Linked DNA regions of Sus scrofa. The protein of the gene in region 1 interacts with the protein of each later gene in a biochemical or structural test. Links are inferred from orthologs where the notes say so. Each region holds a gene or a part of one and is shown on either strand. Other genes may lie near its edges.

The links. The genes of interacting proteins can lie anywhere in the genome.
Region 2: the proteins of UBA6 (region 1) and UBE2T form a complex in vitro, tested with the Homo sapiens proteins (2 studies listed by BioGRID, with this or other methods). The link is inferred for Sus scrofa from reciprocal best matches to the Homo sapiens genes UBA6 and UBE2T.

Annotation. Positions count from the first base shown.
Region 1 is NC_010450.4:65,468,011-65,472,367, reverse strand, and holds the start of UBA6 (ubiquitin-like modifier-activating enzyme 6), read left to right. Parts: upstream 1-1,538; 5' UTR 1,539-2,900; coding exon 2,901-3,331; intron 3,332-4,357. UniProt on the Homo sapiens protein: Activates ubiquitin by first adenylating its C-terminal glycine residue with ATP, and thereafter linking this residue to the side chain of a cysteine residue in E1, yielding a ubiquitin-E1 thioester and free AMP.
Region 2 is NC_010452.4:24,456,277-24,460,612, reverse strand, and holds the start of UBE2T (ubiquitin-conjugating enzyme E2 T), read left to right. Parts: upstream 1-1,527; 5' UTR 1,528-1,606; intron 1,607-2,945; exon of another isoform or gene 2,946-2,970; 5' UTR 2,971-3,067; coding exon 3,068-3,278; intron 3,279-3,689; coding exon 3,690-3,759; intron 3,760-4,336. UniProt on the Homo sapiens protein: Accepts ubiquitin from the E1 complex and catalyzes its covalent attachment to other proteins. Catalyzes monoubiquitination. Involved in mitomycin-C (MMC)-induced DNA repair.

The DNA.
Region 1 (4,357 bases):
TGGGAACATAAATCAGTGGAAATGAGTTAGACTTTTTTTTTTTAGGGTCTGAAAAGAAATAAAAAATGGTATGTTTATTTTCTCAGACTTTTGTCTGTATATCTGGTTCTTTAAATGCATCATCTAAAACAATGGTTAGTTTAGCCCTTATTGAGTTCTCTGCATATCGAGAACAGAGAACATATCCCAATGTTTTATGGGAACATTGTTCCTATGTTAGAGGGTCTTTCAGTTTAAAGCAAGTGCATTTAAGATTGAGAGATCAGTCACTGTCTTTAAATTGTCAAGAGGTGATGATGGGTTTGAATTTAAATCAAATTTTGAGATTTCCTGTTGTGGCTCAGTGGGTTAAGAACCTGACTGGTATCCTTGAGTATGTAGGTTCCATCCCCGGCCTTGCCACAAGCTACAATGTAGGTTGCAGGTGTGGTTCGGCTCCAGCATTGCTGTGGCTGTGGCGTAGGCTGGCCGCTGCAGCTCCAATTTGACCCCTAACCTAGGAACTTCCATATGTTGCAGGTGCAGCTGTAAGAGTCAGCCATTTTTTTTAAAGTGCCCTGTCTCAGAAATGATTCCGTAGTCACAAAGATAATATTCATGGACAGTTAAAGTATATTTAAAATCTCATCTATCTTACCTTTAGCTTGGTTTCAATCAGTGAACCAATTCCTTGAGCTTATCTAATTACTATAAATTGTGTCCATAGGAAACTAAATAAGATTCAGTTTAATATCTAATAAAGATTGATTTAAATCTTCAATTTAATTCTTACAGTTAAGTTTAAAAATTAGGTGTAAAACAATTAGTCTAATTTTTAAATTATATACTATATAAAGTGCATGCATAGGAACAATAGAATATATGCAAAAAAATGTGCATACTATTATCTCTTGAGTAATTTTAAAAAATTTTTCTTTCTTGTGAATACATGTATTCCAAATTTCTAAGGTGACCCTATATTGCTTTTATAGTGAGAGAAAAGTACAATAAATATACGTGTATCTGTTTGTATGACTTTTATTTTATGCATCACTGCTGCTGTTAGGATGCTTTCTGCTGTAAGTAATAGAAATGTCAGACTAAAAGTGGCATGTTTTCATGTTACAGGGAGGCTGGAAGTAGGCATGCAGAGTTGGTTAAGGCAGAACTTTGAGGCATTTTCTCTGGTTCCACAAGGATTTACCTCAGAGATTAGAGGTTAGTTGTCACCAACCAGAAGTCTCAAAGGCAGAAAGAAAGGGTTGCTTCTAACCCCATGCATCTCTCTCTCCCAGAACCCTCAGCACTTCCTCTTAAATTGGCTAGAATTGGAGCACATGACCACCCTAAGCTAATCACTGGCAAAGGAGAAAGGGATAACCCTAAATATCTTAAGGGTATTTTTATCCTCCTCTAGAGAGCAGTGCTCAATTTCCCTGAACATTTATTTAGCCCTCCGATAACTAAAAAAAAAATTTCTTGTTTTCCTTTTTGTGGCTGCACCCGCAGCATATGAAAGTTCCAAGGCCAGGGATTGAACCCGTGCCACAACAGTGACCTGAGCCACAAGAGAACTCACTTCCTTTTTTCTCTTTTGAGATATCATAAGCGGAATGTTTTGGGGGTCAGAAGCCAGCAATACCTGCCACCATCACCAATTACCTTTTCAAAATAAAACTGAGGCGTTCCCGTCATGGCGCAGTGGTTAACGAACGAATCTGACTAGAAACCATGAGATTGCAGGTTCGATCCCTGGCCTTGCTCAGTGGGTTAAGGATCCAGCATTGCCTTGAGCTGTGGTGTAGGTCACAGACGCAGCTCAGATCCCGTGTTGCTGTGGCTCTGGCGTAGGCCAGGGGCTACAGCTCTGATTAGACCCCTAGCCTGGGAACCTCCATGTCGCAGGAGAGGTCCTACAAAAGGCAAAAAGACCAAAAAAAAAAAAAAAAAAGAATCCGACTGCCATGGCTCGGTCACTTTGGATGTGTGTTCAATCCTGGCCTGGTGCCGTGGGTTAAAGGATCTGACATTGCTACAGCTGTGGCACAGGTTGCAGCTGGGGTTTGGATTCAATGCCTGTCTGGGAAAAGTCTATATGCCACGGATGCAGCCATAAAATTAAAAAAAAAAAAAAAGTTAGACGGAGAGAAATAGAGAAATTGGCATTATTTGTGGGGTGAACCTGTCAAAGATATTTATCTCTATTAATTTTCTTAAAAAGAGAGAGGACCGGGGATAACTTCAGTGCTAGGACAGAACCTTGAAAGAATGAGACATAGACCAAGTTCATTTTCACGATTATGTAGAAAAGGTATACAACTTGACTGAGAAATCTGAATCACGCCATAGGTGAGCAGGATGAAGTTTCCAGGTATTTGGAGATATGCAACTCTGAAAAGAAAATGGAGAGGCTCAAAGTATAATGAATCCACTTTCGCTTGGATCCTCTCTCCACACCAAAATGGGAAAAATTCTAAATAAAAATATCATACATTACAGATGATAAAATGTGGAAAGATTCAATTTTTTGAATCCTACAAACATTTCTCCAAATATACATTTAGAATGAAAGATAAATTCTAACGTTACTGAATTACACTAATTCTTGTTGTTTTCTAAGAAAGGTGAAAGAAGAGTCAAGGGAAAGAGATTCAGAAGTCCTTAGACATTCATTCTGGTATTTAACCTGGCAAGTCACTTACACTGACCATAAATTCCTTTTCCTCACCCATAAAAAACTGGATGACATAATGCATTCATAGCTCTAAAAATCACATGATTCTATCCAATATATGACAGTGCTTGACACGTAGCAGTCGTCCAAAATTATTTCTTAAACGTATAACTTCTTAAAATGGAATCTTAGACTGGAAATCCAAAGCTACTTTTTACTAGCTTTCGGGTTTTTTTTAATTTATAAAATGAAGGATTTTTCTTATTGCTTTAAAACTATTAAGGATTTTGCAATTCCATCATTTTGCCGGCCACTAGAATCTTCTGTGCCTGGCAGGTGCCACGTACCTTCAGCGTTTCGGCTACGTTTATATCCGCCAGACCCCAGTCCTAACAGCGCGGCCACTGCAACCACCTGCAGCAAAGCCCGCCCCTCGACCACACCCAAACCGGAAGCCAGGACGCCCCTGGGCTTGACGGGAAGACGCCGCCAGGCTGATCTCTCCCCGCCCGCCCCCTCCGGTGACGTCACCGCCCGCCCCTTGACCTCGCGGCCCCGCCCCCTTCCCTGCCTACGGTGGTCAGCGGCTGCAGAGTCTCAGGAGACTATGGAGGGGTCTCAGCCGGTGGCCACACATCAGGGAGAAGAGGCATCCTGCTCCTCCTGGGGGCCCGGCAGGTGAGCGGACATTGTGGGCGGGAAGAAGCGAGGCTTGGCGGGCAGGACCCGGGGGCCGGCTTTCTTTTTCTCCCCGGCAGGCGGGCGGGAAGCACGCGAGAGGCCGCGGGGCCGGACTGAGCCGGCCCTGGGAGGCGGAGGGAGCGCACGGGGTGGGTGTGGCGGCGCGGGCTCGGGTCTCGGCGACTCCCGGCTTTTCTGAGGAGAAAGTCCACTTACTGCCCCTTCAGTGCTTTCTCAGTTCCTGTTGGGGTCTGCCATGCTCCTTCCTCTCAGTCCCTGTACATGGGGGGATGGGAGGGGCTCCAGTGGAGAGTTCTGGTCCCGGTCGCTCGGTATGAGCTCCCCAGCCCGGGGGCGCGCAGCTCCTTCCCTCCTCTCCGTGGAGTGAAAGCCAAGAGCGCTTCTGGGGCGATCCTCCGCTGAGACCCTCCTTTGAACTTGGTAATGAATCACTAGTAGTCAGGACACCCAGTGGCTTCTGTTGATTACACCTAAAAAAGAAAGAAAGAAAAGACCAAAAAATCCTGGAAAAAAAACATAGTTACCTATTCTTATTTCCCAGTGGTGTTGAGGTCCACGTTTTTACCGTTCCATCAAAAATAGGGGGGAAATGTCGTGCAGGTCCTCTTTCAGTCATTTCATAATTAATAAAGAGGGCAGTTATATACTGCCCATTACCAGAGTACAATATGCCAGAGATACAAGTGATGCATGTATGATTTTGAGGCTAATGTGAGTGTTCCCAAACCTGTAGCTTTTTGCCAGCTTCAGACTGAAGGGATGCTTTAGGAATCACGGTATTGCCTGGCATTGCCAACACTGCCAGATTTACTTAGGAGATGGAGAAAACAAACAAAACCTCCCCTTATTTAAAGCATTTTTGATAGCCTGATTGACCCTATTTTTAAAATGGTTTTTGAAACAGTACAGCAAAGCAGAATTTTCTGAGAAGTAAGTGCTAGTCTTATCATTAAGTGACAAAACTGGTTAGAATGTAGCTTTTCTCATTTTTACTTTAAAGCT
Region 2 (4,336 bases), on another chromosome or scaffold:
GCATGTTAACCTACGAACTTTGTTAGTTCCCGCTGCCCAACATAGTGATTTGGTGTTTTTATACATTACAAAACGATTGCTGTAATTTTTGTACTTTGAAATGTGCTAAGTGACCCAGCTAGAATGCACATACATTCTTGCATAAAGTGAGGAAACTTTTATTAAATAATACTTTCCCGTACACTTCAAAAATAAACTACAAATCAGAATACTCTGGTTTTTAAAGCAATGACACTGGTACACACAGGTTATGAAAATCAGCGTGGCCTCTGTTCTCACCAGTTAACATACCTCCCTCTGGTGGACACATGGAAGCTGTACATTTACCCCCTAGAATTCTTTTTCTTTTACTTTTCTTCCTTCCTTCTTTCCTTCCTTCCTTCTCCCTCCCTCCCTCCTTCCTTCCTTTTATCCAATTCTTTCTGTTGCCAAAACTACAGGTATTGACTTGTTTTATCATATCATCTCTCCTTTCCACCAGACTCAACATAGCTCCTGGTTTTTCTAAAAGATATTTTAGAGACTTGATTTTCAGGGAGTTCCCACTGTGGCACAGTTGGCTTAATGACCCGGGTTGTCTCTGTGGAGGCTCAGGTTTGATTCCTGGCCCAGCGCAGTGCGTTGAGGATCCCGAGTTGCTGCGGCCGTGGTGTGGGTCACAAGCTCCAGCTCACATTTGATCCCTGGCCTGAGAATTCCAAATGCCGCTGGTGAGGACGAAAAAGAATAAAAGACTCGATTTTCAGAAAACCACCCAAGAAAACAATCAATTTCAGCTCGGAGGACAGAACTGTAACTGTAATAAAATTATAATACAACCACAGTTACAATCGGGGTGGAAACAGTGAAGGGATTACGACAGAAAACACCTCCCTACAATGAGGCAACGCTAACAGTAAAGGGAAAACCCCAACAGCTAACGGGAGACTAGATTGGACAGCACCGGGTAGTACCGTGGACGGTCTCGGGGGTGGGGGGCCGTGGGTCTCCGGCGGAGAGAGGGCGGCCGCAAGGAACCAGGGGGCTACTTAACACCGATTTGGGCGGAACGCAGAAATTTCGGCAGCTGTCAGAGCAGCGGTCAAACTGCACTGGCTCGCACGTTTAGGAAGACTGGCAGCTCTCCCGCAGCCGGAGCAGGAAGCGAAGGCGGGTGTGGTCTCCAGCCCGCCGTGGCGTCCGAGCACCGCGCAAGGTCCCCGCGCCCAGAGTCGGAACCCGGCCCGGAATCCCCGCGCTTCTCGGGCTCCGGGGAATCCCCAGAGCGCCGTCCGCGGGTCTGACCCTACGGCGAGGAACCTCGCTTGCAGTTCCTTCTCCTGACCAGTTACTCCCACGGAGCTTCTGGAAGCGATGTGCAATCCTTACCCCTGCGACCCACTGAACCCGACTGGAAACCGCAGCCACCGCCCCGCGCTCTGGTTCAAAACGGGTGGGCGGACGCCGCTCGGAGGCCGGCCAATCGGAGGCCGCACTCCTCCCCGGGCGGCGCTCCGGACCAATCACAACCCTCGCCGGCCGGAGGAGGGGAGACGCAACCCTCGGGCTCGCGCAGGCGCTGTGCAGGCTGGTTGGCGCCGCTGCGCTGCGAGGGAGATCCGCGCAGGTAAGAGCGGGTCGGTGGGCTTCTCGGCTTAGAGGTTACTGGCTGGCGGGGGCGGCGGCGGCGGCAGGGTCTTTCTGCCCAGCGAGGAAGTATCATCTCCCGCGAGCGGCTGTGTGGCGGAGCATGTGGTTGTCTTGACAGCCCCGTTGGCACACGCCTCCGGCAGCCCCCTACCTGAGTGTCCCCCTTCCCAGACATTCCCCTTCCTCCCACCCGGGCGTCCCCCCACCCCCCGTCCCCGACATTCCCCTGCTCTCCCCGCCGCGTCCCGCTCCCGGTGCAGAGCAGCTGCCGGGGTAGATTACAACTCACAGCAAGTTTGTGGAAACAGAGAGCTGGGCCTTGCGGTAGGAGTGAGGGGCTAGGCTGCATTCCTAGAGGAGGGGTGACGTGTGTATACGTCTACAGACTGTGGGCCTCAGAGAGAAGTCGGTGTGGCAGAAGCAAACGTTTATGGGGAGGAGTACTGGCCATGAGGCTGGAAATGTGGGTTGGGCCTAGATGGTAAGGAACTTGAAATGCCCACAAAATAGTGATGGATGGTTTTGAGCCAAGGAGTGCCACGTACTAATTTGTGTTAATGTGGTGAACCTGGGGTCTGGTTCTCCTTTAGAGAAATTGTCTTATTTGTTCTCACCCTATTACAGTCCCTTTACTATGCCTTTCCACTGCGTTCACATTTTATGCGAAGGTAGACTTTACCACTTGGGCATATTTGTCTCTGTCATCGATTCCCAGCATCTGCTTACTGAGAAAAGAAGGAATTTTTGTATGAAAGGTATGCTTAAGTACCCAGTGAAGTAACTGGATCCAAGAGAAGGTGGTTTAAAGGTGTGGCTAAAGAAATTTGGAAGTAGTTTAAAGAATAATTTGCGTGAAAGACCGTTGTAGTGTAATTGATTCTATTTAACGTATTAATTTGCTTGTGTTATTACTACTATTTAAATATTTCCAAGCGTGCGTGCATGTTGATTGCGGAGGACCACTTTGTCTTTGCAGTGCAGTTCAGGAGGGTACAAAGACCCAACACATACACGTCCTTGTGTTCAGGATAGCTGCCTGAGGTTAAGTTCATAATTATCATGAATTACACTGTCCAACTAAGTACAGTCTATACCCACCAGGTGATCTTTGCTTATTAGTACCTATAATTAGTACCGGACGGTTGGTTCACTTCTGTGCTGGGTGCACTGAGGCCCCAGCAGTGAGCAAAACTGGGCCCAGGCCCGCCCCCCCCGGGGGGGGGCGGGGAGATTGTCATTCATCCGTGGAGACAGATGTTAATTTAAAGCATGTAGCACTTTTCTCTGTAGAACTTGTTGCACATTTCAGACTTTAGTTTAAAAATGTGTTTGCTTGCATAGGTAACGACAAGGAAATGGAAAAAGTGGACTCCCTGCTTGGAACAGAGATTAACAGGGGGGCTTCCTTTGTCCTTCACTAAACGGAAAGCAGAGTCCTATGCTAAAGCGGAGTCCCTGTCACCCGAGCCTGGTGCCTGGAGCCATCTGTGTGGCCATCTTGCCCAGCAAGCCTGACAGCCAGCCCTCCCTCGTGCCTGCCATGCAGAGAGCGTCCCGTCTGAAGAGAGAGCTAACCCTGCTGGCCACAGAGCCGCCCCCAGGCATTACATGCTGGCAGGACGGGGACCGAATGGATGACCTGCGTGCTCGTAGGTGTCACACCCTGGGGAAAACCTGGTGGAGATGTGTGTGTGACAGCATGGTCACCTTCCACCCTAATTTGTTCACTTGTGCATGAGGTTTTCATGACATTTCTTCTTTGGCCTTTTATTACATCTTTTGCTGATTTGCAGCCAGGATTTGGGTAGAATGCTGCAGTCCACACGGCAGGTCTGCGGGTTGTATTCGCTCAGCAGCCAGCATTGTGCGCCTTCTGTTCTGATCTGTGTGGTCTGTGTGGGGTGCTGGCACGCCGCAGGACTTGTGAAGCTGAGAGAGCGAGCGTCCCAGACACGGCTTCTCCGTTAGGGCCACAGGCTTTGTTAGGTCCCTGTGGTGCCCTGACTCAGATCATCCCACTACCTCTTAATTTCGCTCTTTTTTTTTTTTTTTCCTAAAAGAAATACTAGGTGGGGCCAACACACCTTATGAAAAAGGTGTTTTCAAGCTGGAAGTTAACATTCCTGAGAGGTCAGTGTGAATTATATTCTTAATTTCCAGGGTAAAGCACTGTTACTGGAAGCCAGAGCAATGTAGTAGAGTGTTAAATGCAGGAGTTCAAGGACCTGGATTTGTTTGTTTGTTTGTTTAGGGCCACTCCTGAGGCATATGAAAGTTCGCAGGCTAGGGGGCAAACCAGAGCTGCAGCTGCTGGCCTACGCCACAGCCACAGTAGTGCAGGATCTGAGCCCTGTCTATGATCTAAACCACAGCTCACGCCAACGCCAGATCCTTAATCCACTGAGCGAGGCCAGGGATCGAACTTGCATCCTCACGGATACTAGTCAGGTTCGTTACCACTGAGCCATGATGGGAGCTCCAGGACCTGGTGTACTGACTGCTTTGCAGTTCTGGAGAGAGTGATCTTATTCTTAGGGGATGTGCGCTGAGGGATCTAGAGGGGGAGTTGCTTGATCCAGGTGGTGGGCATCTGAGGGGTTTCTGAACTACTGTTTCAACTTTCTGTTGTTTGTAAATGTCCACAGTAAAAACTGGGGCAGAGAAAAAAGGTCTGCCACTCACGGGCTGTGGTCCTGATTGGTCAGCA